Linked DNA regions of Tamandua tetradactyla. The protein of the gene in region 1 binds, or shares a complex with, the protein of each later gene. Links are inferred from orthologs where the notes say so. Each region holds a gene or a part of one and is shown in the gene's direction. Other genes may lie near its edges. The genes, in order: SMC5 and EID3.

Evidence for each region.
Region 2: SMC5 (region 1) and EID3 share a complex: the UniProt entries of both Homo sapiens proteins name them as parts of the SMC5-SMC6 complex. The link is inferred for Tamandua tetradactyla from reciprocal best matches to the Homo sapiens genes SMC5 and EID3.

The regions. Positions count from the first base shown.
Region 1 is NC_135328.1:100,311,338-100,326,903, forward strand, and holds the start of SMC5 (structural maintenance of chromosomes protein 5), read left to right. Parts: upstream 1-8,645; 5' UTR 8,646-8,741; coding exon 8,742-8,929; intron 8,930-14,052; coding exon 14,053-14,194; intron 14,195-15,566. UniProt on the Homo sapiens protein: Core component of the SMC5-SMC6 complex, a complex involved in repair of DNA double-strand breaks by homologous recombination.
Region 2 is NC_135333.1:174,444,840-174,460,914, forward strand, and holds EID3 (EP300-interacting inhibitor of differentiation 3), read left to right. Parts: upstream 1-9,547; 5' UTR 9,548-9,659; coding exon 9,660-10,748; 3' UTR 10,749-12,129; downstream 12,130-16,075. UniProt on the Homo sapiens protein: Tissue-specific component of the SMC5-SMC6 complex, a complex involved in repair of DNA double-strand breaks by homologous recombination.

The DNA.
Region 1 (15,566 bases):
ATAAAGTGCAATATATTTATACAAAAGCTTTAAAGCAATTAAAGGGGAACCAGACTGACACATATCAACATAAATACATTTCAAAAATATATCTTTGAATGAAAAACCAAGCTACATATCTCTTCTTACCACAGTTTTTTTATGTAATATGCTTATATATGCATGAATATAATACATATATTTATGTAATATAGTCACACTCAAAATAGCATTACATACATTCTGTAAATGAAATACATGTAAAAATATTAAAATGCTGTAAAAGGACATTGCATTACATACTGAACAAGTGTGTAAGAGTGATCAACTCTAAGGGGGATATGTGATACAGGAACAAGATTGAGGAAAAAATTGTCAAATGGACACTATTTTTTTTATATTCTATTTTTAAAGAGGAGAATGTAGCCATAAGTTTCATGTGTAATTTTTTAAGAAGTAGCTAATAGATAAAAAGACTGGAAGAAATCGTCCCAGATTGGGGACAATATTAATTCTTGACTGTTGGAATATGGACTAATAGTTGTTTGTTTCTGCTTTTTTTTTTTTTGTACTCTTCAAATTTCCTAAAATAATAATAAAAATGCAAATGCAATTTTAATTATAAAACAAAATTTATGGCTACCAACTGAAGTTGCGCAAGTGAGAACTTGAAACCAATGAGTTTATAGGGGGCTCAACAGCATCCTAGTTTGTTAGAGATGCTGAGACAAAGTGTCACTCTTGGTGACTGATGCCAAAGAGCTCATTTATTTTATAATTTATGTGACCTATACGGTCAGTTTTACTGCAGTTCTGACAATTACCAACTTTCTTTCCTCTGGGAAGTAACAGGATGTGAGGGAAAACACTCTCACCCTAGATCTCCCAGGCCTCAGCTTATGCTTCTGACCAAGCCTGAGTGAGCAAGATTTTCAGTCCAATTTGCAAAGACTTGCAGAGAAGATTTCACACAGTATTCTGGTACCTTTGTTTGTGATCTTTCTGAAATGGAAGGGAAATACCAACTTAATACTGCTTTCTCACTTTATGTCCTAGAAAGAGATGAAAGCTGGTTTATCTCTAGGCTTTCCATCATGACACATAACAAAGAACACTTTAAGTTGTATTACTTGTTGGTGGGGTTTTTTTTTTTTTGTCTTTCATTTGGTTTTTGTATCCAAGAGATGGAAATTTTTAAGACAGGCAAATCCATTGAGACAGTGATCCAGAATATAAAATGAAATATGGAAAAGTGCTTAGAATTGTAACTGGTGTACGGTAAATGCTTAGTATTAAAATGGCTACTAACATTATAGCTATTAATATAACCAATCCCAGTACTATCTCACTACTACTATAGTAAGAAGAAGCAAATGTTTCGATTGTTTTAAGCTTTTGTATGATGTTTGAAACTAATTTTTGAAAATTAAAAACTTTAGTAGAAGGATACTGGGTGGTAGCTTAGTTCCACTGGGGGAAGGGTCTTTGTTCTTCTCAGAATTCCTTATTCCTGCCAAGACCTTTCCCATTAGTTCTTTTTTTTTTTTTTTTTTTTTTTTTTTTGTTACATGGGCAGGCACCGGGGAGCGAACCCAGGCCCTCTGGCATGGCAGGTAAGCATTCTTGCCTGCTGAGCCACCGTGGCCCGCCCCCCATTAGTTCTTTCAATGAGGTTTATTAGAACGTATGGGGTTGTTTTGTGTGTGTGGGCACTAAGTTCTTAGATTTTAGCATCTGACTTACCACCTCTGCCAGTTTAACTGTTGTGCACCCCAGAAAAGCCATGTTCTTTAATCCTCATTCAATATTGTTGGGTGGGATCTTTTTGACTAAGTTGTTTCCATGAAGATGTGACCCACCCAATTGTGGGCGGGACCTTTTGATTAGGTGTTTTCTGTAGAGATGTCTCCATCCATTCAAAGTGGATCACTTATTAGAATCCTTTAAGAGGGAACTATTTTTAGAAAAAGCTTTAGGGCCCACGCAGCCAGGGACCTTTGGAGATGCAGAAAGAAAATGCCCTGGGGAAGCTGTGTGAAAAAGCTGTGAGAGAAAGCTCTCAGACATTGCCACGTGTCTTCCCAGCTGAGAGAGAAACCCCATACGTCATCAGCCCTTTCTTGAATCAAGGTATCTTTACCTGGATTCCTTAGTTTGGACATTTTCAGAGCCTTAGAACTGTAAACTTGCAACCTAATAAATTCCTTTTTAAAGAGCCATTCCATTTCTGTCATATTGCATCCCAGCAGCTTTAAGAAACCAAAACACCACCCTTCTAGACCACAGGGTTCACCTTCCACTTCATGTGGTTGCCAAAAGCAAAAGTAATAATCCTTTACACTTGTAATGTAAACCTCAGATTATTCCTGATACATGTGGTGGTTCTTTTTAGAGCAGGAATAGTAAACTAATTCAGTCAGAGATAGTCTCAGTAGACTTCCATTCTTTGCACCATGCCCCACATTATGACACATGCGGCATGTGTGTTACGACAACCTTACAAAAGGCCTGGAGTGAAGCCAAGGATGACAATACAATAGGTAAGGTGAAATGTATTTATAACTTTCCACCCTGATCATTTCTGCAAGTTTTTTGTTTGCATTAGCTTTAAAGTTTCTGCAGCACAGAAAGGCTGTCAGTTAAAATGGCCCCAGTTCACTCATTCTATGGTGAGTAGAAACAGTACAATTGCTCTGATACATCTTTTAGCTAGCAAGAAGGGGAAGATAACCCCAGTTCGTGGCTGGACTTTAAACTCTGGGAAGAGTAGAATTAGCTGCTACGTTAATTTATTCCTTAGCATAGGATTCTGGTTAATTGATACTATATTCTATTTCCAAAGCCTTCTCCCTCCCTCTGCCTCTTTAACATCACCACTTCAAGCATTTTCACCAGTGACATTAAAAAAAATCCAAATGTGTCAAGATAAATATGTACACTTTTAGGGGTGCTATGAAAATTTTAAAGATGCTAGTAAGCACTGAGCTGATATAGCCTTTCAGAAGTATTCCAGTTACATGTGAACTTCCAGTCACACAGAGCCCAATAAAAGGTAATGATTTAAAGAAATTGTGGTACATCTATTTAATGGAATAACATATAGTTATTTAAAGCTGTGTCATAGAAGAATATTTAAGGGCATAGGAAGGAAATATATTCATAATATATTGAGGAAAAGGGAGTTAAACAACAGTACAAATAGTACTATATGTGCAGTATCATCTTATTTTTTGGAAGGAAAAAAGTATACAAGGAAAAAAAATGTCAAAATATACACCAAAATCTTAACAGTACTTAGCTCTGGGTAAAAGAATTATGGGTAATTTTTCCCATTGCGCATGCTTGTTTTTCTGTGTTTTCTTAAAATTTCTGCATTTAACATGTATTATTTTTGTCATTAGAAGCAAATCCAATAGCATTTTCCATTTTAAGGGATGGTGCTAATGCATGACAGGCAGCTGTTTAGAGGACTCATGTGCCTGCATTTGTAGGTTCATCACAAGTTTAGAGACTCATTTTTTTTTTGGTATTTGTGATAACTTTTTACTTGATATTTTTTATTAAAAAAATTTACAACAAATGGACTTCCGGAGAAGATGGCGGCTTAGTAAGACGCGCGGGTCTTAGTGCCTCCTCCAGAAAAGCAACTAAAGAAACAGAAACAATACGAAACAGCTCCCGGAGTCACGACAGAGACCAAAAAGACAGCGTACCCCATTCTGGAACAGCTGAACGGGCAGGGAGAATCTGCTGCGGTGAGCTACCCGAGGGGCGCGCGTTTTCCCGGCCGGCTGGCGACTGGGGTCCCCTCCACGCACGTGGCTCCCCGGTCTGACTGGGAACGTTGGATAGCGGGGCCCTCCCGTCACGCTTGGCGTTTCGGGCCAGCTGGGCAATTAGGACCGGCACTCTCCCAAGCCGCGGCGGCCAGCGACCCCCACCTCCACGCGTGGTTTCCCGGGCTGACTGCCGTGCAGACAGACGAGCGCCACGAGCGCCACCTACTGGGCAGGAAAAGAAAAACAGAGCCCAGAGATTTCACAGAAAAAGCTTTCAACCAGCTGGGTCCCACACCCAGGGAAATCTGATCAAATGCCCAGACACCAGCAGAAAATAATGGATGACGCTCGGAAAATTGAAGATATGGCCCAGTCAAAGGAACAAACCAATAGTTCAAATGAGATACAGGAGCTGAGACAACTAATGCTGAATATACGAACAGAAATGGAAAAATTCTTCAAAAACCAAATCAATAAATTGAGGGAGGACATGAAGAAGACATGGACTGAACAAAAAGAAGAAATAGAAAATCTGAAAAAACAAATCACAGAACTTATGGGAGTGAAGGACAAAGAAGAAAAAATGGAAAAAACAATGGATACCTACAATGGTAGATCTAAAGAGACAGAAGCTACAATTAGTGAACTGGAGGATGGAACATCTGAATTCCAAAAAGAAACAGAAACTATCCGGAAAAGAATGGAAAAACTTGAGCAGGGGATCAGGGAACTGAATGACAATATGAAGCGCACAAATATACGTGTTGTGGGTGTCCCAGAAGGAGAAGAGAAGGGAAAAGGAGGAGAAAAACTAATGGAAGAAATTATCACTGAAAATTTCCCAACTCTTATGAAAGACCTAAATTTACAGATCCAAGAAGTGCAGCACACCCCAAAGAGAATAGACCCAAATAGGCATTCTCCAAGACACTTACTAGTTAGAATGTCAGAGGTCAAAGAGAAAGAGAGGATCTTGAAAGCAGCAAGAGAAAAACAATCTGTCACATACAAGGGAAACCCAATAAGACTATGTGTAGATTTCTCAGCAGAAACCATGGAAGCTAGAAGACAGTGGGATGATATATTTAAATTACTAAAAGAGAAAAACTGCCAACCAAGACGCCTATATCCAGCAAAATTGTCCTTCAAAAATGAAGGAGAAATTAAAACATTTATAGACAAAAAGTCACTGAGAGAATTTGTGACCAAGAGATCAGCTCTGCAAGAAATACTAAAGGGAGCACTAGAGTCAGATACGAAAAAACAGAAGAGAGAGGTATGGAGTAAAGTGTAGAAAGAAGGAAAATCAGATATGATATATATAATACAAAAGCCAAAATGGTAGAGGAAAATATTATCCAAACAGTAATAATACTAAAAGTTAATGGACTGAATTTCCCAATCAAAAGACATAGAATGGCAGAATGGATTACGACCCAGCAATACCACTGCTAGGTATCTACTCAAGGGACTTAAGGGCAAAGACACAGACGGACATTTGCACACCAGTGTTTATAGCAGCATTATCTACAATTGCAAAGAGATGGAAACAGCCAAAATGTTCATCAACAGACGAGTGGCTAAACAAACTGTGGCGTATACCTACGATGGAATATTATGCAGCTTTAAGACAGACTAAACTTATGAAGCGTGTAATAACATGGATGGACCTAGAGAACATTATGCTGAGTGAGTCTAGCCCAAAACTAAAGGACAAATACTGTAAGGTCCCACTGATGTGAACCGACATTCGAGAATCAGCTTGGAATATATCATTGGTAACAGAGACCAGCAGGAGTTAGAAACAGGGTAAGATAATGGGTAATTGGAGCTGAAGGGATACAGACTGTGCAACAGGACTAGATACAAAAACTCAAAAATGGACAACACAATAATACCTAAGTGTAATGTAACTATGTTGGAACACTGAATGAAGCTGCACCTGAAATATGGTTTTTTGTTTGTTTGTGTGTTTGTATCTTTTGTTTTTGTTTTTTTTCTTTTTCCTTTATATATATATATATATATATATATATATATATATATATATATTATTAGTATTATTATTTTAATTCTCTTCTCTATATTAACATTCTATATTTTTCTGCTGTTTTGCTAGTTCTTTTCCTAAATCGATGCAAATGTACTAAGAAATGATGATCATACATCTATGTGATGATACTAAGAATTACTGAGTGCATTTGTAGAATGGAATGATTTCTAAATGTTGTGTTAATTTCTTTTCTTTTTTTTGATTAATAAAAAAATTAAAAAAAAAATTTACAACAAATGAACTAAAACATTAATGTGATCATTCCGTTCTACATAATCAGTAATTCACAATATCATCACATAGTTGCATATTCATCATTTCTTAGAACATTTGCATCAATTCAGAAAAAGAAATAAAAAGACAACAGAAAAAGAAATAAAACGAAAACAGAAAAAAAAAAGATTATATACACCATTCCCATTACCCCTCGCCTTCATTGATCATCAGCATTTCAAACTAAATTTATTTTAACATTTGTTCCCCTTATTATTTATTTTTATTCCATATATTCCACTCATCTGTTGACAAGGTAGATAAAAGGAGCATCAGGCACAAGGTTTTCACAATCACACTGTCACATTGTGAAAACTATATCATTATTCAATCATCTTCAAGAAACATGGCTACTGGAACACAGCTCTACATTTTCAGGCAGTTCTCTCCATTACATCTTGGATAACAAGGTGATATCTACTTAATGCATAAGAATAACCTCCACGATAACCTCTCCACTCTGGAATCTCTCAGCCATTGACACTTTGTCTCATTTCACTCTTCCCCTTTTGGTCAAGAAGGTTTTCTCAACCCCTTGATGCTGAGTCTCAGCTCATTCTAGGGTTTTTCTCAAACCCTTGGCTGAGTCTCAGATCTTTCTAAGATTTCTGTCCCACGTTGCCAGGAAGGTCCACACCCCTGGGAGTCACGTCCCACGTAGACAGAGGAGGGTGGTGAGTTTTCTTGTTGTGTTGGCTGGAGAGAGAGGCCACATCTGAGCAACAGAAGAGGCTTTTGGGGGTGACTCTCAGGCCTAAATTTTAAGTAGACTTGACCTATCCTTTGCAGGGTTAAGTTTCATATGAACAAACCCCAAGACTGGGGGCTCAGCCTATAGTTTGGTTGTCCATACTGCTTGTGAGAATATCAAGAATTCAACTTGGGGAAGTTGAATTTCTCCCCATTTAGAGACTCATTTTTAACTTTCAAATTCAGAAACACAATTTCATTAGTTCACTCAAGACCTGATTACAGTACAAAATGAGCAAGACTGGTTCTCTACCTTCCTCCAGTTACTATGATCTATACTCTTATTTTTCCATTCATATATATTCCCCCAAATGTAATTATTCCTTCCAAGAACTTGACTCTTCTAAAGATTTTGAAGCAGAATGCCAAAATTTCTTTTTAAAGAGGGATGCTAGAATTGTGCTCTGAGTATTTTAATATTATTATTGCCTGCCACTTGAACTGTTTTAAAGTTCTTTTTAAGTTTTTAAATTTCCCATAACCATCACAAATTCACACGTTTTTTACTTATTCTGTTTTGTTTGGTTATAATTTCCACGAGTCATAACCATTGTATGTGAGAAAGGAGCATTTATCTGGGAGTCAAGAATCAAGGTTCCATTGCAATGGTAAACAGCCTTCCTGATTTCACATTTGACCCCCTTCATGCCACAGAGTCGCCATTTTAAAACTTTAATCAGGTCATGTCAGTCCCCTGCTTAAAATCACCCAGTGGTTTCTTACTCCTTTTAAAATAAAATTTAAACTCTGCCACCGTAACGGGCAGCCAGCTCTGGACTTCCCTTTGTTCTTCAAACATCCCAGGTTGTTTCCACCTCAAGGCTTTTGTCCGTGCTGGTCCCTTTTCCTTTTCTCAGATCTTCACACACTTCGCTTCTTCTCTTTCAAGATTCAGGTCAAACATCGCATCCTTTGGTAGCCTTCCGTGCCTTCCCCCATCACATTATTTTCTTCACAGCATCTATCACCGTCAGGAATTACCCTGATCATTTGTTGGTTCACTCATTCTCTTTCACAACTACTAAGTTCGGAGGAACGCGATCTTTCTGCCTCATTTACTGCTGCTTCCGGAGCTCGTGGTGGATAAAACGTTAGTTCAGTGAACGGAGATCCTCGCAGGCCCCAGGCCCGTATCTATAATGGGGATTAGCTAGGTAAATGTGAGCAGGTTAAAGTAGAATCATATTTTCAGTGAATCTACCCCATTTTAGCTGGGGAAGAAAATTTACGAGGGAATTTGGTAGGCAGCAGGTGGAGAGTCAGTAAAGATTATCAGTGCAGTGCACTCTTTTTCACAAGTTTGAAAGAGCAAGAGACTTAACACGACGCTTTGAGAGAAGCATCATGGGGTCATTTGAAAGAGTTTTAGTTATTTTTTTTTTTTCCTGCGGCGAGGGCCTGATCTGAAGCGAAGGAAAAAGAGCAAAAAAAGGAAAAGGGAAACCAATTAGAGAAAAAGTCAAAGACAGGCGCGCTCAGGCATCTGGGAGGAGTCCAGCAAGCCCGACCAAACTCCGCCGGCCTCCACCCCGGCCGCCACCCCCGCCCAGCGCCTCGGGTGCCACTCGCAACCGCTTCCCTCTACCCGCTCCCGCCACACGTAGTCGGGTTCCGGGAAGCGAATCGGATCTCTCCGACGCTAAAATGGTCTTTCAAAATACTAAAAGCAACAGGCAGGTACAGAGTCCCGTCAGCACACTAGCGCCCGCCAGCAACTCTCGCCTCCTAGCCTGCAAAGCAGAGCGGGACGGGGCAGGTGACGCCGCCAGGCCAGAACTGCGCAGGCGCCTGGAGGGCTCGCGGGCTGTGTTGCGCGCCCGGCAGTTCGCGCGGGAGTCGGGAGCCCGGGCGCCGCGGCTGCAGGTCAGTGGGAACGGAAGCCGGTGCAGCTCGGAGAGGAAGCCAGGATGGCGACTCCGAGCAGGAAAATGTCGACCCCGAGTCCTCTGGCCTCTAAGAGACTTCTTCCGAGAGACCCTTCGTCGGAAGTCCCGAGCAAGAGAAGGAGTTCGGCCCCGCAGCTGCCGCTACCGCTGCAACCGTCCGGCTCTTTCGTGGAAGGCTCTATCGTCCGTATCGCGATGGAGAATTTCCTGTGAGTGACCGAGAGGCCGCGCCGCAGCCGAGGCGGCAAGCGGGCTCGCAGGCGGGGGGCACAAGCTGCGTATATGCGTGTGCGCACCGTGGGGTATGGGGGTGTTTGTCGGTCGGTGTGGGGAGAGACTGCGCCAGGGTTGTCGGTCTGGCAGTGAATTCGTGCTGAAGTCCTGTGTTACCGTGAGGATTTGTTTATATACAGGCCTGAAAATTGACGTGTGTGTTGGTTTCTTATGTGCGTGTGTTCTGTGGAGTCTTGTTTTTAATCGTTCCGCTAACGTTTTTCGAAGGCTTCATATGTCAGGCAGCGGATGTGTAAGGTTACTGAGAGTTACGGTCCATAGGGGTCATAATCTATAATTCACGAAACAGTGGGCCTATAGAAAACTATGGCACTCAGAGAAGACAACAGTTAAATCCTAGTGACAGTGATGCCGTGGCAGATTGTTAAAGAGTAGGCATTTGCCAGTGATCAGAGAGAAATAGAAAGATGGTAAAGGTTGCTCCAAATGGGGGGTTCGTCTGCAAGAAATTAAACCTCGCTGTCAGTTGCTGGGACTACTAACATTCTTGAGCCCTGCAAATTCAGCTCTCTTTCCTGATTCCTTTTCTCTCCCTTTAGTCAGTTAGTAATCGTTTTAAAATTTAGTAATTACGTTTTAATAAAACTAACTTATTAGTTTACACAGCCAATAAATAGCTAAGTTGCTATTTGATCCCAGATCAGGAAAGATAAGTAAATATAATTAAATGAAGTAGATACCAAAATAGTGTATACATCAGGATGCCATAGGGGCACAAAGGGAGAAGTAGTTAATATGCCCACAGAACAGGAAAGACTTTGTAAAGGGAATCAATGAAAATCTTGAAAGGCTAGGAGGCTTTTCTTCCCATAACAAAGACGGAAAGGCCTTTGCAGACCGAGGAACTGCCTGAAACAGTTTGGTATATTTAGAAAGTTTCTAGTGTTTCAATATAAGGAAAACATAGGATGTGAGTGAATTTGTGAACAGAGGTGATATTGAAGAGATAGGTAGCCATTGAGAATTTATATGTTAATTATGCCAAGGAATTCCAGCTTCTACCTGTAGGCAAGCAGGATGAGATTTAAACAGGAAATGACTTTGTTACTCTGGAAGCAGTGTGGGGGATGATATAAAAAGAGTACAAGACTGTAGGCAAGGAAACTTGTGTAGTATGAAAGCAAGAGGTGATCAGGACTTGAACAGAATAGCAATGGGGAGTAGGAGTGGAAAGAAAGGAAATTTGACAGGATCTAGCTACAGATTAATTGTGAAGCATGAGGGAAAGTTAGGAGTGCAGCATTTTCCCCAAGTCTTTGACTTGGTTAGTTGGTCAGATAGTGCTGCTATGCAGAAGACCGAGCAGTTTGGAGAGGATAACAACAAATGCTTTTTAGGTCCTGTGACTTGAAGCTTCCTGCAGGCCATCTAAGTTGTTCCATAGCAATTATATATAATTGCTTAGAGGAAGGTTTGTGAACAGATGAGAGATTTGGGAATCATGTATGTAGCTATAAGAATGGTTGAGATTGTACACAAGGAAAGAAGAGAAATTGAAGATCGAGTACAGAGTCTTGGGGGAAATACCATCATTTAAGTGTGAGCACAGGAGAACTCACAGACTGAGGAGGAACTAGCTCTTCAGGGAGGTAAGAAGAGAATGTGGGGGGAATGGTGTGGGTATTATCACAGGAGCCAAGGAGAAAGAATGTTTCAAAAACATGTACTGTGTTAGAGTTGAATAGCAAGACTGAAAAAAGCCCATGAAATACAACAATTAGTAAATCTTTGACTTTTGATGAAAAAGTAGAAGCGAGAAACTTTATAGGGAAACAATGTAGTGGGAAACAATGCAGGCCATTGTAGAATAAATGAGGGTTCACTTTTATGTGAAGAGGAGAAAGAAAAAATGATGGAAAAGTGTAGAGCCGCTTGATGTTTTCTTTGTTTAACAATGAGAGGATTTTGAGTTTTAGGAAAGAAGTAGAGGGTTAGCTTTAGAGACGGGAAATGGCCTGGAAGAGAGTACAGTCTCCAAGTAAAGGTTTGGAGAAAGAAGAAAAAAGAAGGTAGTCAGGAAACTCAAAGAAGTAAATTATAGTTGGAATTTAGAGGTCTGAGCAGAGGACAGGAGAAGGAGATAGAAAGTAGTGAAAGATGAAGCTAGGGCTAAATTGTGAAGGGTCCTGATTTATCCATCCTTCCATCTACTGTCTGTTGCTCCCTCTTCAAGTGACATCACATTTTCATTTTGAAAAATAATTGCTTAAATTGCAGTAACGAGATTAAATTAGGAGTGGGAAGAGTTAAGCAGTACTAAAGAAGGCTATTGCCATAATTCTTATAAGAGATGATGGGGACCAGAGTAGTGGCAGAGGTGGATGAATTCAAGAGCTATTTAAGAGGACCAGGAAACATGACTTTGTGATTCATTCAATGATTGGGGGCAGGGGTGGGGAGTTGGGGGTAGGTTATGGGTAGAGTTGAAGGAGATGGAAGAATCGGAGATGATACAAAACAAATGCCTAGGTTTCTGAATTGGGCAATGAGATCAATGATGTTGCCATTACCTGAGATGACAAGCATAGTTTTGGATCAGAAAAACCGGTGAATAATTTTTGAACATGTTATGGTTGAGGTAATTGTTGTCAGATACCTAAATAGATTAGCTATAGAGTGGGTATTCTAGTTTGCTAGCAGCCGGAATGCCATATACCAGAAACAGAATGGCTTTTAAAAGAGGGAATTTATTGAGTTGAAAATTTAAAGTTCTAAAGCCATGAAAATGTCCCAATTAAAACAAGTTTAAAAAAATGTCCAAATTAAGGCACCAACTAGAAGTTACTGTCACTCAAGAAAGACCCATGAAGTTCATAGTTTCTCAACTGGAAAGGCACATGGCCAACATGGTGATGTCTGCTAGTTTTCTCTCCAGGCTTCTTGTTTCATGAAGTTCCCCCAGGGGCACATTCCTTCTTCATCTCCAGAGGTCTCTGGCTGTGTGTCTCTGCTTCTCGGGGCTCTGCTGCTCTTTCCAAAAAAATATTTCCTCTTTTTAAAGGATTCCAGTAAACTAATCAAGATCCACCTGGAATGGTAGTCATGTCTCCCTCTAATCAAAGGTTAATACCCACAATTTTGTGAGTCACATCTCTGTAGAGATAGTACAATCAAATTCCCACCCAGCAGTATTGAATGAGGAATAAAGGACATGGCTTTTCTGGGGTACACCACAGATTCAAACCGGCGCAGTGGGTAATTGCATAAATACTCAAATGGGGTGACTTTCAACATGTAGATGGTATCTGAAGCCATGGGAAAAACATGAGCTATCGGACAAACTGTGTAGAGTGAGAAGAGGGTGGGCCCTTGACAATAACTCTTTCAGATGGACAGAGAAAAGAGAGCTCACTAAAAGGGCATTCCCAATGAATGGTGTAGTCAGAGAATGATTTTTTTTTTTTTAAATGCAGAGGGTTTATTTTGTTTTTGGCAGTTATTCCTATTTATAATTGCTCTGTATATGTTAGAGACCAGAATTTTTCTGCTTTTTCATATTATTTTTATTGTTTTCTGAAATACCAGTTACATTGCTATTTTATTAAGACATTTGTGCAAAGATTTCCCTGCAGTAAATTCATGTGTTGAAAGAATGGAGTTTTGTTTGTTGGGATTAAGAAGGTCCATGTAAGGTAATTTTTCAGCTGTCTGAAGTGCCCAAACTAGTTTTGTTGTAGCCATATGTGTTATTTTTACCATTTGTAAAAGGGAATTTAATGTATAAATTCTTGAAGCTAATCATTAAGGCAGAAAAACTATGGACGCTATTTTTCCCATCTTGATCAAAAACTACTCTGTAAAGCTGATGTGGAAACAGTGGGAAAAGCCTTTTAATAATGGATCCCTCAAATTGCTAACACAACAAAACATCTTAAAAGATAAAGTAGCTAAGTAATGTGAATTGAGAGGTGTGGGGTTGGTAAACTTACCAGAAAATACTTTCCCTTTTCCACCTATGTTTTTTTTTTTTATTATCACTTGGAATTACAAAGTAAGTAATCTCTTTGAGTATTAAAATGAGTTATGATTGTTTAAATTCTTCATATACCTGACAAGATAGTTGCAGATTATTTATTCCTTAGGAATTAGTTAAGTTACCTGACAGCTAGCTGAGACCCTCTGGGAATGGGACATTCTTTATGGGTTCCAATTCAGGGTATTCAAAGACAGATTGGAAGGATGTCCAAGTCAGAGTTTGTTTCACATTTTGCCATAGTTGCTATAGCAGTTAATAAGGATTAGATGCTAACTATTGCTGGTAGATAGGATACTGGACAGCGTGCAGCTTTCTGGCATAAGGGAATATTACAGAAGTGCTTGGTGATGCACTCTTATTTCCTCCTACAGGAATAAAATTTATTTGAACATGGACTAACAACAGGTCCTTTGGTGAATCTTTTTTTTTTTTAGTTAAAATAAAATATGTTATTCTTCAGTTTTCTAATTACAATAAAAATAATATGACTGGATTGTTTCAAATATTAAAATTTGGAGATTGCTATTAATCATTTAATTCAAGAGAAATATAAATATGAAATCCACATATTAAGATAAGCCGTGGCTTCTCTAACAAAATTTGTCATAAAATTATTTTGTTTGTACATTAGCCTATGAATTGTAATTATTACAGAAGAATAAATTATATCAAACTTTGTTTTATTCAACACTAATTTTTTAAAACTTTTTTATTAATAAAAAAAATTAACAAACAAAACATTAAGATATCATTCCATTCTACATATACAATCAGTAATTCGTCAACACTTATTTTGAAAAAGGTATGCAAAGTCTTATTTTTCCACTGACTTTTTTTTTGGTTGGATATGCATCGTTGCCTTTTCATTTCTTTCACTGATAGATTTTTTCCCTCTAGTTTATTAAAAACCTGTAAATAACATTGTTTATAAGTTTAGTTGACTTTTTAAAGGAATCTGAGTGAGCCTGTAAATAATGATAATATTAAGTAACAAAAGTACTTTTATAGAAAAAATATTCTCCTCTTAACTCTGTTTAGTAATTTCAACTCTTTATAATTCAGGACGTATGATATCTGTGAAGTATCTCCTGGACCCCACTTGAATATGATTATTGGAGCTAATGGAACAGGGAAGTCCAGCATTGTATGTGCCATTTGCCTTGGGTTAGCAGGCAAACCTTCTTTCATGGGACGAGCAGATAAGGTAAGTTAACATAACTGTTTATGTATTTTTAATTCAAATTAAATCAACTGCTTGTAGTAACAAATCAATTCTTGTGTTTCAGTTCCTTGGATGTAGTAAATATGTAGTGTTTGAATATAAGGAATGAAGTTGGCAGGTGGAAAAGTTGGTAAGAGATTACCAGTTTTGGAAGTATGTTGGACTCTACTTAGAGAATTTTCCAAGTACCTAACACCTAAAATGCTAGAAATATGTGAAGTTTGTCTTTTATAATGCAGTGCTGGGCTTTTGGAAAGGTGGAGAAAATGAGCCAAGGGCAAAAACAAATACAGCGTATTTTGTTTGTCCTTCACTTTTTTGCACTTCATAGTTGTGTTTTTTTTTTTTTTAACAAATTGAAGGTTTGTGGCAACCCTGCTTCAAGCTTGTCTGTCATTTTTTCAGCACATGTGCTCACTTCGTATCTCTGTATCACATTTTGTTAATTTCACAATTTTTCATATCTTTTCATTATTGTATCTGTTATGATCTGTGATCAGTGATCTTTGATTTTACTATTATAATTGTTTTGGGGTGCTATGAACCACACCCATTTAAGATGGCTAACTTAATTAATGAATATTGTGTGCATTCTAATTGCTCCACCAACTGGCCATTTCCGAGTCTCTCTTCTGTCCTCAGGCCTCCCTATTCCCTAAAACACAGCAATATTGAGATTAGGCTATTAAAAACCCTACAACGGCCTCTTAGGTATGCAAGTGAAGGAAAGAGTCACATATCTCTTACTTTAAATCAACACCAATAAATGATTAAGTTTAATGAGGAAGGCATGTCAGGAGCCGAGATAGTCTGAAAGCTAGGCCCTCTTGTGCCAACCATTAGCCAAGTTGTGAATGCAAAGGAAAAAATTCTTGAAAGAAATTAAAAGTGCTTTTCTAGTGAACAGATGAATGATTAAAAAAGGAAGCAGCTGTATTGCTGGTATAGAGAAAGTTTTAATGGTTTGGATAGATAATCAAACCAGCCACAACATTCCCTTAAGCCAAAGCCTAATCTAGCATAAGACCTTAATTCTGTGAAAGCTGAGAGAGGTCGGGAAGCTGCAGAAGAAAAGTTTGAAGCTAACAGAGGTTGATTCCTGAGGATTAAGGAAAGAAGCTGTCTCAATAATATATTATTAATGAATATTAATAATATTCATCAATTAAGTTAGCCATCTTAAATGGGTGTGGTTCATAGCACCCCAAAACAATTTAAATATTAAAATCAAAGACCACTGATCACAGATCATCATAACAGATACAATAATGAAAAGATTTGAAGAATCAGAGTACAAGGTAAAGCAGCAAGTGCTGATGTAGCAGCAAGTTATCCAGAAGATCTAGCTAAAATA
Region 2 (16,075 bases), on another chromosome or scaffold:
TATTGAGAGGAAAAACAAACTGAATGAAAAAGTACGTATTGGAACTTCAGTGCCTGACAAAGTTACTTAGGTTATCAGATATGACTAAAACTGGCAAGACCGGATTTGAATAATTTCTTTAAGATGATAACAGGAAAGATGACAGACACAAAGCAGTGGGTGATTAACATCCACATGAATTATACAGACCCTTGGGAGAGAGCTCAGACAGGTTCTTGTAGGCGTGGTGGTCAGATGGTCCAGCCTGGAAAGGTAGACAGAAGACAGGACTCCTTTCAAACCTGGTAACTGACTAGACATCAGAAAACGAGTGGTAATATAATAACTCTCCAACCATTACTTTTCATTCTCACTATTCTGCTAAACTACCATAACTGACAGAAAACTCCATTTCTTTTGATTCATTGCTCTGAGATAATCTCTTATCCTAGTAGTGTTTTCTGCTTTGGGGCTGCTGATTGGTGAAGCCTGAGGAGGGTTGAGGAACTGCTTTGAGATGTGGGAAGTGAGGATGAGGTTCTGTGCCTTACCTTAGAAGAATTTGGAATCTTTAGGGTAAGGACTACCAAGATTCAAAAGAGGAGTATTGTTAGAATTGTAAATACATTTATCCTGGTTATGTGCTGGTTACAGTAAAGTTTTACTGGTTGTGATTCCATCTTGAGTCCCAATACCCTCTCCTCTTGCTTCGATGGACAACACCATGGAAGCAGCAGACCTCTTGTTTGCCCTTTCTCTGTTCTGTTCTTCTGATGGTCCAGGCTTCAAATTTTCTCCTGTCTTTCCTGTGAGTTCATTTACTGGGACCTGTTAGCCCATATCTGCCTCCTACCTTTATTGACTTTTACCCAGACTGATTTCGGGTATTCGTTTTCTCTTGCCAAAACCATTTCAGCAGTTTCCCACATCTGATCTCCCTCTTTTCCCAGTCTGTTGGCTGCGGAGTCCTCTTCTGATTGCCCCCACATCTGTGTCCAGGGTAAAGTACGCATTCCTTAGCCTGGTATTCTTTGCCCTCCAGGATCTGGTCCCAACTTGCTTTTCTGGTTATCTCCTGTTCTGTTCCCTCAGTGACTGGGGGCTCCTGGGGATACTGACTGATGCAACTATAATCCCTAAAGTTTCTCACCTTTGTTTTGTTCTTTATTCTAATTCCTGACTTCTCTTCCCCAAATCTATTTTTTCAGCTGCCTGCATTTTTGAGGACAAGGCCAGATTTGGCTGCTCTTTCCCTCTCTGTGCTTCTACAAATTCGTATCTCTGGAAAATGAGGAATCCTGCTTATGCCAATTTTTTGGTTATATGCTAACGGTAGACATCTAGCCTTATTGGTCCTGTGTATATAGAGTTCAGCAGCTGTCTGAGTGAATATCCTGTCAATGATAGTGGCTCCCATTTACTGAATGCCTACTATGTGTAGACTCTTAAATTTAGTAGATTAAATCCTCACAACAATCTGACGCAGCAAGTATTCCTCATTTTTCACAGATGAGAAAAAGGAGGCCCTGAGAGCTTGGCAGCATGCCCAAGATTAGGTGGCTGGCTAAGAGGCAGAGTCAGGATTGGAGCCCAGTCTGTCAGCCTGCAAAGGGCATTCTGAGTACTCACACTTCTGGCATCTGGCTTTCTGCTCCTGCTGTTGGGATCCACACCTGATATCCCTGATGTGAGTGTCCTCCTGACTCAGAGCTGCACGCGTGGGAGCCTTGGTGTTCCAGCCAGGTGCTGGGACAGAGGAAGCCATCGGCCACTAGGTGCTTGCTGCACTGCTCTGCATCCCTGTGTCTCCTAAACCGTGCATTCCTTTAGGACGAGAATGATCTGTTTGATTCTTCCATGCTCTTTTTAACAACTAGTGAGCATTCAGTAAATATTTGTTGAAAGAGTGGATTGTGGTAGGACCAGAGGAGAAGACTTAAGTGAGGGATAAATCTAAAAGGTGTCTGATTTTATTTAAGGTGGGCTGTCTATCAGAGACCTAAGTTGTTGAGGAGAGATTCAAGGCAGCGTGTTGGAAAGCACAGTTCAGAGTTTTAAAAGGCTGTGTGACCGCAGCGTTGTGTGCTGGGACGACAGTGTTGGGAAGGAAGTCACATTACCTCGATTTAGCTGCCATTTGTTGAGCACCGTGTTCTCAACGTTGGGCTAAGTACATTGTCACCTTTAACACATCTTTAATATATCTGGGCAGTGTACATGTTTTAAAATACATTGTTAACAATGTTTGTATATGATTAAAAAATCATCACCACCACTCTGTGTGGCAGAGTGGATATCTCATATACTCATTTTACAATTCAGAAACTCGAATTTTAGAAAGAGGTGGAAAGTAATAGTATAAAAGTTTTTGATTTGTACCCAGGCCTCCAGAGCCAAGTTCCTTCAACACTGTCACTTTTCAGAACCACATACTCAGTTCTGTCCCCCTAGTCTCTCTATCAAAATGATTGCTCTTGGTCTTGGCTGACGTCTGAGTTGTTCCAAGAGAGTTGGTAACTGGCTGTGATTGTAACTTGAAAGAGTCTATTCTCTTCACTATTGTTTGTATTAATTCTTGAGGCTTGGCAAGTCAGCTAGCACTAGGTTTTCTGAAGTTGGTATGACTTTGACCACAGTGCAAGGGTGTGGGTTTTATGTACTCTAAAGTATTTTAGTGCAGGAGTCGAATTATTTTGTCAGACATGACTTCCGTTATATCTTCTTTTACTTCATTAATAATAATGCCATCTTATTTGAATAGAATAGTAAATTCAGAGACTCTTGGCGACTGGCCTTTTTTTTTTTTCTACAGTTACTAGTACTTTTTTTAAAGATTTTTATTGTAGACAACAAATAAATACAAGCATTTTTGACATACATTCTTAACATGGTTACAATCAGTGGCTCACAATATCATCACATAGTTGTGTATTTATCACCATGATCATTTTTTTGAACATCTGCATCTCTCCAGCAAAAGAAATAAAAAAGAAAAATGAAATAACTCACATATGCCATGCCCCTTACCCCTCCCTCTCACTGACCACTAGTATTTCAATCTACTCAATTTATTTTAACCTTTGTTCCCTTTATTATTTATTTCTTATCCATATCTTTTACTCATCTGTCCATACTGTAGATAAAAGGAGCATCAGACTGGTTTCATAATCACACAGTCACATTGCAAAAGCTATATCATTATATAATCATCTTCAAGAAACATGACTACTGGAGAACAGCTCTACAGTTTCAGGTCCTTCCCTCCAGCCACTCTAATACACCATAAACTAAAAAGGGGATATCTATATAATGCGTAAGATAACATCCAGGATGACCTCTCCACTGTTTGAAATCTCTGAGCCACTGACACTTTATTTTGTCTCATTTCTCTCTACCCCCTTTTGGTCAAGTCCCAGCTCACCCTAGGATTTCTGTCCCATGTTGCCAGGGAGGTTTACACCCCTGGGAGTCATGTCCCATGTCATGGGGGGAGCGTTAGGGTGTGGGAGTCATGTCCTGTGTAGATGGGGGGAGGGTGGTGAGTTTGTTTGCCATATTGGCTTAGAGCAAGAGGCTACATCTGAGCAACAAAAGAGATTCTCTGAGGTGACTCTTAGGCCTAATTTTAAGTTGGCTTAGCCTATCATCTTCAGGGATGAGTCTCATAGGGGCAGACCCCAAGATTGAGGGCTCAGCCTACTGATTTGGTTGTCCCCATTGCTTGTGAGAATCAGCTGAAATCTTAGAAACTGTTCATGAGGAAAATGTACATAGAAAATTTTGCACGTGATTTCTAACTCTTTGTGGGTCTGTGTTAGGATTTCTGGTAGAGAGGCTGACCCTTTCAAAGCGCTGTATGTGCTCTCATTAGTTGAAGCCTTAGTAGTTTTTTCATTTTGTTATATGGTTATTTTCTTTCCACTGGTATTTGTTACAGTGGGATATATTCCTGTATTCCTCTTTATGGATTTAACCTTTAAAAATCTTTCATTCCTAGAACAGCCAGGAAGGGTTTACTTTCTGTTCCCAATCCAATTTTGTGAAAAAAATTTACAAATTTTTTTCTTTTTAATTTCTCACATTTACTAAACGTTTTGTTGTCTTTCAGATAGCTTAACATTTATTACTCGGAAGCTGAAAACATTGTGTCAGATCCATTACATAGTTCTCACTCAGTACTTAGGGTAACTTTATGATGTATTAAGTAGTAGTATTCCCATTTTAACAACACCAGAGATTGAGAGGCTGAGAAATCTGCTTAAAATAACACTGGTAGCTAATTGATCAGATTGGAGCCCAGGTTCATCTCCTCCTACTATGCTCTTTTCAGAAATTCATTTTAAAAACACACAGATTATCTGCCTTGATCATAGCAAAGTTCACCTTTAAACTTTATTGTTGTTTTTTTGATACCAAAAAACAAAACAAAGCACACACACACACACACGCACACACACAAGCATAACCTTAAGGAATGTTAAGATGAGAGAGAAAATATACCTAATGAACCAGACTTGGACTTTTACCACATTTCTTCAGAGTTCTGTATTAAACAGACACCCTGAATTTTGAGGGGTGCGATGCTCCTGTGAAAGAAGGAGTGGAATGCGTTAGGAATGTGGCTAAGAGCAGGGTGGGTTTAGCTGGTTAGAGTAGGGGATTCCTGGCTTTGGCTCAAAAGAATCTTTTTAAAACCCATGTGTTACAAGCTAGTCCTGCAGTAAGAATCCCACTGGAAAAGACAGTGGACTCTCTGTGTGAATTCGCTTCTTATGTGACCAGAGAGACCTGTCATCCTTCCCATCATGTCTGTGTTAAGTAGTAGGGGTAGTGGGAAAGAGCTTAAGAGTGATTGGAATTGGTGAATCAGAACTCTTGAAAAAAAAAAAAGGACTGCAAAATAATATTGGAAAAAAGACTGAAGAGAAGAAGAAAGGAAATGAAGAGCCCCAGCTCCTGAAAGAGGATAGGAAGGGAAATGAGGAGGAGTTAAATTACCCTGAAGCATTACTCAAGTGTTGTCTCACAGTTGACTGAACTAGTCTTATTGCATAAAGAAGGGAGGTCTTACGTCTTTGAAGTACCAGTGTACTTCTACTTTCTGTTCCCAATCAGAAAAGTTTAGCAATGTAACTTGAAATTATATGTGCTTCCTTTTTTAAGTGTTTTTTTTAATTGTGAAATATAAAATATATTCAAAAAAGCATTAAAAAAATTTCCAAGTATAGAATATATTTTGAAGTTTGGTATGGGTTACAGTTCCATGTGTGCTTCCTTTTTAGGCTGCATTTAAATACTTGTAGAAATTGGACCATAGGTTAGAAAATCACAACTACTTGTTGATTCTTTGGGGAAAAATGTTTATTAATATGTAAAAGATCACATATCAACAAATAGGACATCTTTTGAAAAAATAAAACTAATTCTTTAACACTAGTATAACTTCATTTTAATGATTTTGTCCTTGTTTTCATGTATACATACTTTGATATCGTTGCACATTTTCATTATAAAACCAGACCTTTATATCTGATAGAAGTTTAAAAAGGGCAGAATGTAAATTGCTGGTGGTAGGAAGTTAAGATGTTTATACCAAAAAGTGAGTGCATATGAGTCAGGATCAGAAGAGAACATAGGAAAATGAGCACAGTTCATGTAAGTAATGTGAGGCAATCTTTAGGTTGCACCTGAAGTTGTTACTGTTTAGGTAATGTCCTATTTTCTGCAAAAGATAAATTATTGTTTATTTGTAAACAGCTTATAGGCAAACTGTCAAGAAGGTAAAAATGGTGAGCATTATAGAGAAGATTTAAGCCATTTAGTAGTGATTTTGAAATTCACAAGGGTAGAAATCTATTTCTTTGTGACTATGAGGAAATCTCTAGACTTGAAATTGTTTTACTTTGTAGCAGTGTCTGAAATCATGTGCTGTATTTGCAGTCAGTAATGCAAGTATGATTTTCTGAAGATGATTTAAATTACATTTTACTAAGGTTCTTGGATACAGGACCAGCATAGAATGAAAGTACTGGACGTCAAAATTGATTCATATACTGCTTGCCTTGATGTGTTCTGTGCCTCTGTGAGAGTTGTGTGGGTTGTTATCTCCTGAGAAATCACTGTAAATGGAATTACTAATACTTTATAAGTAGGTTGGGGGAGTTATATATTTTTCTGAAACATTTTGACATTTTCAGATGAAAGACTGTGTTTGAAGCAAATTGGTGTGTGAAGCAAATTTTCCTTCCTCTGAGCACAGGAGAAAATAAATACCTCGTGCTTGTCTTTTGGAGAGCTTTCATAAACTGCTTTTATTGAAGATAAATTATCAGAAGGATAGAATCCTCACTCCCAAGAATATGGTCATCTAGTAGCAAACTTTTCTGCATTTTGGGTCTTGGAATTATTAACTGTATGTTTTCACCTAAGATTTAAAATAGGTTTAAATTTTATTTTGTAATTGCCAGACATGGGGAAAACATGGCTCTTTAAAATGATCCTGATTCCCAAATTTGTTATTGTCTCATTTTCCCTGTTTTCCAGAAAGGGCATGAGGTTGACTTTTTTTTTTTTGGTTAGAAATAATTGTTTTATATAGTTGAGTGATAATTTAGATACACATATATACATATGCTTATCACAGTGAGGAAAAAATGGTTTAGAAAGAAGGGTTTTTTGTTTGATCTGTGTTTAAAGGGGTCACTAAAGAGAATAAACTTGCTTAGGAATTCCTTTTTAATAGTTTTCTTAAATAAAAGCATCCTTTGATCACAATGGAGAATAAATTCAACATTTATTCACTAATGCAATAAAAAAATACAATGTAGATGCTACCAACACAGTGAAAGGCACCTCTCAAATCTTAACACTACAAAAAGACTAGGGAGTTCTATAGAAGATTAAAGGCATTTGGGGATTTCTCAACATCTTGATGACCAGACAACAAACTGCAAGATATCAGGTAAATGATATTAGCGAGAGTAAACTAGGTACTAGGTATCATGCAAAGACTACATATATTAACTCATAGCATCATATCTTATCTGCACTAAGCAATAAATGACCTCCATTCTGCCATTACTAACTAACAGATTGTGGCCGTTCTTATTTTCTGGTTCCAGGGAAATAACCAGAGATGCAGCAGTATAATAAATAAATGTGATTTTCCAGGCTTGCCAGTTGCTAAAACAGAGTCTCCAGGACTATACTAGATGCTTATGGTAGATCTGCACAGGCTAATTTTAAAGTGCATGTAATTTAAGCCCGAGCCTCTGAAATATCATTTGTAAGGTAATAGTTTTATATATTCATAAAGTTTAAATTAAGATGAAACAATCTCATATAAATAAAAACTTGTTAAGAGGCATCCAGTCTCTTATAGGCTTCTTCAGTGAAAAAGTTAGTATGTCCTTCATCTGGGATGAATTGTGAAGAACATCCCAGTCCTTCAGAAGAGCATTCTGGTTTGGAATCAGCATCAAAATTTCTTTCTCAAGTACTGGTGCTTTGAGACTGTTCTGAGAAAGCTCTGGAAGAGAGAGTACTTCACTACTATCCATTTGAAACATCTGTTTTACCTTCTCCTCCTCTCCTTCCATCTCATTTGTCAGAATGTGAAGTTTGCTTTTGAGGCTTTGAATGTTCTCATTGACTCTGTGGTCTCCACTATTTTATCTGTTTCTTCCTGCAATATTGCCAGACCTTCTTCATTAGCACTGTGCTATGCCCTTTCCATTTTCAGTAGACTTGACACTGTTAAATTTTTCTGTTTCACACAGTTGTAGCAATCTTTTCTTCAGACAGTTGAGATGATACTGGATTTGTTTGTTTTCTTTAATATTGTTACTCAAATTGCTATTATTACTGACTCCATCATAGATTGTAAATACTTTCTGCTACTCCTTGAAAGACGTTGCCAGGTTTTTCTCTTGTTGGATGTTATCTTTATCTGTTTCAGATTAGTATGCTTTGTTTTTCCATCTGGAGAGAGATGATTTGGGTGTTTTTAAACCCTCTTTAAGGTGTTTAAGAGGGTGTTTCTACCCTCTTTCTCTGATAACTCCATTTCTTCATCAGTTTTTCTTTTTGGATTTCTTTTTAACTTGAGATTTTTTCTTGGACACATTTGCTTTGTCAGGCATCCCCTATAAGTGGGAACAATTATAATGTGCTTCAAAAATCACTAATTCCTGTGGGTTAGTATTTAGAGAAATTGGCGCCCAAACAATCGAAAACCATGAAACCGGGAAGTGGCTGTGTAGCTGAGGTTGACTTTTTATAAAAGAAGTCAGATTTTACTTTCAGTGTGTAGGATAAATGACCTATACTAATCTGTGAATTTGATCTTTTCTGCCAAATAACTTCCAATAGGTGCTGGATCAAAGTTTTTAATCTACATTCATTTATTCATTCAGTGCATGCTTGAGTGCCTTTATGTGAAAACGGCTGTGTTTGGGAGGTTTAAAACCAAGTCTTTGCTTTTGAGATGCTAATGCAGAGGAGAATGTATATGCACAGGTAACTATGATGCATGTTGTTTTCGAAAAACACATCTTTCTGAATTACTCCTACTTAAAATAATTGTGGACAAAGAGTGGCATCATAAGGATTTTGGAGTAACTTAATAGTTGGTTTTGCTGTTCCTGCATTCGTATGAAACGTTATGCTACTACCTAAGAAAAATGAACCAGTCTGCAGAGGAAGGAAGTTACGGGTTAATTGACTTCCTGGCCCCTGAAGCCCATGATTGGCAGGTGTGGTGGGTCGCCTTTTTTCTTCAGCCCCCTAGCGGCACCTGTGGTGGTTAGTAAGCGCTTTCGATGGCGTGGGCTGAGAGCGAGTGTTAATCCCTTCCCTGTGCCTGGGTGCTCGGGACTGACCGGCCCTCTCCAGCCGGAAGCGAGTTTCCAGCCGCTTCGCTGAACTAGCGGGCGAGCCTCCCGCAGGGTCGCGGCGGGTCCCGGCGTTCGCCTTCGTGGCCCGACGAGTCCGGGCCCCAGGCCTCTTCGCCGCGCAGGCGACCCTGGCGGCCCAGTCCCCGTGAGCGCGCTCGCGGCCCGCGGTAGCCTTCCGCTCGGCGTGGGGAGCCGGGGGCCCCTCGCGAGTGCGCGCCCGCGCGCCCGCCCTTCCCCGGCCCCCGGGAACGAGTTCCCAGCGTCCACCTTGCGTTTGATCCTGGAGAGTTGGCCTCTATAATTGGGGTGTGCATTTCATTATCGTTGCCCCGCGAGCATTTTATAATCTAACCAGACTTTCGGGTTCTCAAAAAAAGGACCTTTTCATCGCGAGAAAGAAAAATGTAGGTCGGCCTAACTGCACTGTATCGCGGCGAATGTTTTAAAGAGTGGGACCTTTCCCCCCTGAGTTTGCCGTAGCATGTCTTTACAAATTGAGTGACATTGTCAGGAAGCGCTGAGCCAACACCTGTCCCTTGAGCAGGTGTTTTTCAAGTGCCCATTGTTGCGTGGCGTGCGGCCGCGGCCTGTCGCTAGCGCGGAGGCGGGGCCCAGCCGGCCGCTAGTGCGCATGGGCGGGGACGGGCCGGCCGCCAAGTGCGCATGGGCGGTGCTGGGCCGGCCGCTGAGGCGCGGAGGCGCGCGGCCTCTGGCTTCTGCCGGCTTCGGCGTGCGCGGCGGGGGAAACGTCGGGGAGGCGCCCAGCCGAGGGCGGTGGCTGGAGGCATGTGTGATGAAGAAGGTTCCCCGAGAGCTGGCGAAGAGAAGAGACAGAAGCCCGGGCGTGAGCCCGCCGTGAAGCCGGCGGCGGAGTCGAGGAAGGTGGAGGAGGCGGCGGGGCCTTCTAGCGACTCTGACGACCCCAGCTCCGGGGACGCAGACGTCGATCCCCAGCTCCTGGGGCTTGCGGATGACGAGGAGAAATGTCGGCGCATCCGCAGGCAGTACCGGCAGCTCATCTATAGCGTGCAGCAGAATCGCGACGACATAGTCAACACGGCGAGCGAGTCCTTAACCGAGGCCCTCGAAGAAGCCAACGTCCTGTTCGATGGAGTGAGCCGGACGAGAGAAGCGGCCCTCGACGCGCAGTTTCTTGTGTTGGCTTCTGATCTGGGTAAAGAAAAAGCAAAGCAGTTAAACTCTAATGCGAGCTTTTTTAACCAAGTAGCGTTTTGTGACCGTCTGTTTATGTTTGTGGGCCTAAACTGGATGGCGGGTGATGAGCGTGATGAGCTGGATGGTTGTGATGCTTCTTTGGCTGTTCACTTTTGGGAGACGGTGCAGAAGGAAGCAGCAACCTGGCTCTTGCAAGCTGAGACGTTCCACTTCATCTTTGGCTCTTTCAAGCATGAGTCTTCTGCACGGAAACCACGTCCTGAACACCAGAAAAAATCTCACAAAATGGAAGAAAACAGAGATATGCCGACAAAGCTGAGGAAGTTGGACCCTAGTAGTAATCAAGAAGCGACAGAAAAAGAAGTAGAAAGAATCTTGGGATTGTTGCAAACCTACTTTCGAAAATATCCTGATAGTCCTGTGTCCTATTTTGAATTTGTGATTGATCCAAACTCTTTTTCTCGTACTGTGGAGAATATATTTTATGTTTCTTTCATTATAAGGGATGGTTTTGCAAGAATAAGGCTTGACCAAGACAGGTTGCCAATATTAGAGCCAGTTAATATTGATGAAACTAGGAAAGGAAACAATTGCAGTTCCAATGGCAGGAAACAAGGAGTTATATCTTTGAGTTTACAGGACTGGAAAAATATTGTGGCAGCTTTTGAAATTTCAGAGGCTATGATCACAAACTCGTAGTAAAGATTTTTGTGCTTAGCATAAATGCGTTTTTGTTTTTTCTTAAATATCTGAAAATGGAGAAAGTAAAATCCAAATAGAAGAACATACTTTGTCTCTTGTAAAGTGGGAAACTTTTTTTTCAAGAACATTAGAAATTGTTTTACTCTCTAGTGTATTTTTCTTGGTAGCTTAAAAGATTGTCATGATCTTATGAAAGAAAAGTCACAGGTATTTTAATGGGAAAAAATGTTAAATACACTTTAAGACTATACTAGTTAAAATAAGTTGTGCTTTTAAAAAATTAATAAAATAATTGATTAATAAATTAAAAAGTATTGGGTAATACAGATGCAGATGCTCTCATAACCTGCTTTGCTTCCATTACTAGGAGCTCTGGGGAACATCAGGGGTTTCTTATTAGGTTGGGGGGACAGTTGGTGAAAAAAATGAGTGGTCAAGAAAGGCAGTTAATATGCAGCCTTAGGGCTAAAAATTCAGTTAACATGCTTCATTGCAGAGGAGGATACAGTAAGATCTCTAAGTGGGTAAACAATTTCTCCTGTGACCAGACTCAACAAAAGTAGAGTATCTTATCTCTGCTACAGGAGGGAAGGTGTCAACCAAGTGCTGAAAGGTGACAAGGAATTAGTCACAGAAGATGGGAAAGCCTGCATTGCAGGCAGGGAAACAGGGCAAACACATGAAAGTGTGAGAAGTTATGGCACAGAAGAACTATACAATTTCTAGGAAACTTCCATTTTATTTTGTTGAACTGGACAAAAAATAAATACCGTCATACACTAGTATCCCCAGTTATTTATTTATAGAATAAATATTTTTTTCACGTTTCTTCAGACAAAATTTTTTACCATCCAGTTATAGGCTTTATCTTTTTGGTAATTTCTTCCCTGATAGCAAGTTTTTCTCGTTGTAATATCTGCTTGTAAACAACATGCCTTTTAGAGTTAGTGATGTTTCATCATGTAAGAGCCTGGAGTATTTGTTCCAATTCAAATATGCATTTCTTTATAGAATTCTAAATGCCTGGATTTAAAGACTTTTGTTTAATTTAAAATACATGATTTATTTCAATGTTCTTTAGCATAAAGCCGTAGAGACTTTTTGTTGTTTGTTTTTTGCAGTTGTTTAAGAATATAAGTTACACCCTTGTTTGGAGATTGTTGCCGAAATTTTGATTCTTAGTGCAATTTTCAAAAGTGTTCAAAAAAAAAAACACCATTTTTTGAAGGTACAGTGAGCATGCAGTAAGCTTCTTTCCCTTATCTCTGTAGGAACGCAATATTTGGTAGTTGTAACTTTTTATCATTTGTCTATTAATTAGTTGACAAGTGTGTAAATATCTCTTATGCATAGCAAAGACAATAAACTTTTAAAACTATTCTGAGTTCAATCTGGTACAAGGAAGGAAAATCCAAAGATTAAATGAATGACATCAAGGTTAAAGTGGGTGGGTTAGGGGGGAATGTCGTGTGTGTGTGTGTGTGTGTGTGTGTGTGTGTGTGTGTGTGTGTGTGTGTGTGTGGTGGGGGAGGAAGAGGTGGGGCTCTTCACCAAAAATAGTGGAGATTTTTAGCAAGAATTGAACTTAGTCATGAATGTCTGCCAATTGTTCCTGAAGTAGTCATTCCTTCCTTTTCCTCATGTGAAGGAGCTAATGCTTCCTGGTCTCGTCAGCCTTTGATTTAACAGTCATAGATGCATCATTGTTTTACCAATCCTCACTTTATGTCTTTACCAACCTAATTCCTTAGATTTTCCAGAGACCTCCTGTTTGGGGAAAAGGTACTCTTAGAATAGCAAAAAGACCATGCTTGGATTCTTTACTCACCATCAGATTGCTCTGTTCACTGCCTTAGCATCTTTACTAAAACTATTTGACATTTACTGATAATTGAAACCTTTTGATAGAGAATGTAAAGATTTTGAGGAAGATATTTTTTGGAAGTCCTTGCTGAAGTTACAGCTGTTAAATTATAAGATTGCCCACTTATTTTGTGTACTCCAGATGCAGAGACGGAACATCTAGTTCATTGCTAAATATGAATAGAAATTTTCTTCCTGGATCATGTGATTTGGACTTTACACTTTTAACCAGAGTCATAATAGTGAAATCAAACTATATTTATCTTTTTGTGCCAGCTTATTTCACTTAGCATGCTTCAGGACCTCATTTTGTCTTCTGCATAATATTCCATCGTGTGTATATACCTGTATTAGTTAGGGTTCTCTAGAGAAACAGAATCAACAGGGAACACTTGCAAATATAAAATTTATGAAAGTGTCTCACGTGACCGTAGGAATGCAGAGTCCAAAATCCACAGGGCAGGCTGCGAAGCCGATGACTCCAATGGATGGCCTGGATGAACTCCACAGGAGAGGCTCACCAGCCAAAGCAGGAATGGAACCTGTCTCCTCTGAGTCCTCCTTAAAAGGCCTCCCATGATTGGATTTAGCATCACTAATTGCAGAAGATCAGCTGTGGATGTAGTTGATGTGATCATGACCTAATCCTATGAAATGTCCTTATTGCAACAGACAGGCCAGCGCTTGCCCAATGAGATGAACAGGTACCACAACTTGGCCAAGTTGACACCTGTCCCTAACCATGACAGTCCACCCCTTGTCAACTTGGCGCACGCACACACACACACACACACACACACACACACACACACACACACACACACACACACACACACACACACATATATATCACCTTAGACCATACTTAATTTCCAAATGAAAACAAATAAGCACACATTTTTTCTTTTACCTGACAATACTCAACTGTCCAGCATATAAATGGAAACACATTAAATCTCTCCAGAATAGGGTGCAAGTCCTTGGGCAACATTCATTCTTAAACTTGTTATCTTACAACTTAAATAGTATAACACAAACAAAACAGCATTACAGTCCTCGTTTCTGTAACTGATCACGTGGTCGAAGTTCATATTTATCACTGCCTTCTTCCACCACCCATTCCATGTTTCCTTTCCCCTCAGCAAGCACTTCAGCTGGCCGTGGTTCTTTGCCTGGTGGGGTGACCCAAACTTTCATTCCTGAAGTCTCAGAGCCATTAGTGGTCCTGCCTGGATTGTGTTGTTGCAGTTTTCCATTGATTTTAATCACAGGGCATGGTAGTACTAATAGACGCCCCAGGGGATCTCCTATATTCCAAGAAAACTCTTCTTTACCTCCATTATGTAGTTGCAGTCCTACTTCCTTCTGATAGTCAGGGTCAGTTACCCCAGACAATAATATAATCCCCTTCTTGGTGTGTTGATCCAGAGGCATAAGTAGCCCAAAGTGGCCAGGTGGCAATCTTAACTTCCAGTTCAGTGGTATCACTGTTGTTTCTCCTGGAGAAAGCACACCCCGTTTTGGAACTAAAACCTGTAGACCAGCAGAACTCAGGGTAGCAGGGACAGGAAGCAAAAATTTTCCTAGTGGATCATTAGGAGTAATAGTGAGTGGTACCACACCCATTTCCACCCCTTGGTTCCTGGACCCATGGATCCTGGCTATGGGAGAAACAGCACCATACAGCGGACGCTGATTCAGAGCATACACAGCTTCCTGGAGAACATTACCCCAGCCTTTCAAGTTTTTGCCACCTTGTCGGCACCGTAATTGAGTTTTCAAAAGGCCATTCCACCGTTCTATCAATCCAGCTGCTTCTGGATGATGGGGAACATGGTAAGACCAGAGAATTCCATGAGCATGTGCCCATTCCCGCACTTCATTTGCTGTGAAGTGTGTTCCTTGATCCGAAGCAATGCTATGTGGAATACCATGACGATGGATAAGGCATTCTGTAAGCCCACGAATAGTAGTTTTGGCAGAAGCATTGCGTTCAGGGAAAGCAAACCCATATCCAGAGTATGTGTCTATTCCAGTTAGAACAAATCGCTGCCCCTTCCATGAAGGGAGTGGTCCAATGTAATCAACCTGCCACCATGTAGCTGGCTGGTCACCTCGGGGAATGGTGCCATATCGGGGGCTGAGTGTGGGTCTCTGCTGCTGGCAGATTGGGCACTCAGCAGTGGCTGTAGCCAGGTCAGCCTTGGTGAGTGGAAGTCCATGTTGCTGAGCCCATGCATAACCTCCATCCCTACCACCATGACCACTTTGTTCATGAGCCCATTGGGCAGTAACAGGAGTTGCTGGGGAAACAGGCTGACTGGTATCCATAGAACGGGTCATCTTATCCACTTGATTATTAAAATCTTCCTCTGCTGAAGTCACCCTCTGGTGTGCATTCACATGGGACACAAATATCTTCATGTTTTTAGCCCACTCAGAAAGGTCTATCCACATACTTCTTCCCCAGACCTCTTTGTCACCAATTTTCCAATTATGGTCTTTCCAGGTCCCTGACCATCCAGCCAAACCATTAGCAACAGCCCATGAGTCAGTATACAAACGCACCTCTGGCCAGTTTTCCTTCCAAGCAAAATGAACAACCAGGTGCACTGCTCGAAGTTCTGCCCACTGGGAGGATTTCCCCTCACCACTGTCCTTCAAGGACACCCCAGAAAGGGGTTGTAATGCTGCAGTTGTCCACTTTAGGGTGGTACCTGCATATCGTGCTGAACCATCTGTAAACCAGGCCCGAGTTTTCTCTTCCTCAGTCAATTCACTGTAAGGAACTCCCCAAGAGGCCATAGCTCTGGTCTGGGAAAGAGAAGGTAATGTGGCAGCAGGAGTGGAAACCATGGGCATTTGTGCCACTTCTTCATGTAACTTACTTGTGCCTTCAGGACCTGCTCTGGCTCTATCTCGTATATACCATTTCCACTTTACAATAGAGTGCTGCTGTGCACACCCAACTTTATGGCTTGGTGGGTCAGACAACACCCAACTCATGATAGGCAACTCAGGTCTCATGGTAACTTGGTGGCCCATGGTTAAGCGTTCAGTCTCTACTAAGGCCCAGTAGCAGGCCAAAAGCTGTTTCTCAAAAGGAGAGTAGTTATCTGCAGCAGATGGTAAGGCTTTGCTCCAAAATCCTAAGGGTCTGCGTTGTGATTCTCCTACTGGGGCCTGCCAAAGGCTCCAGACAGCATCTCTATTTGCCACTGACACTTCCAGCACCATTGGATCTGCTGGATCATATGGCCCAAGTGGCAGAGCAGCTTGCACAGCAGCCTGGACCTGTCGCAGAGCCTCCTCTTGTTCAGGTCCCCACTCAAAATTAGCAGCTTTTCTGGTCACTCGATGAATGGGCCGGAGTAGCACACCCAAATGAGGAATATGTTGTCGCCAAAATCCAAAAAGACCAACTAGGCGTTGTGCCTCTTTTTTGGTTGTGGGAGGGGCCA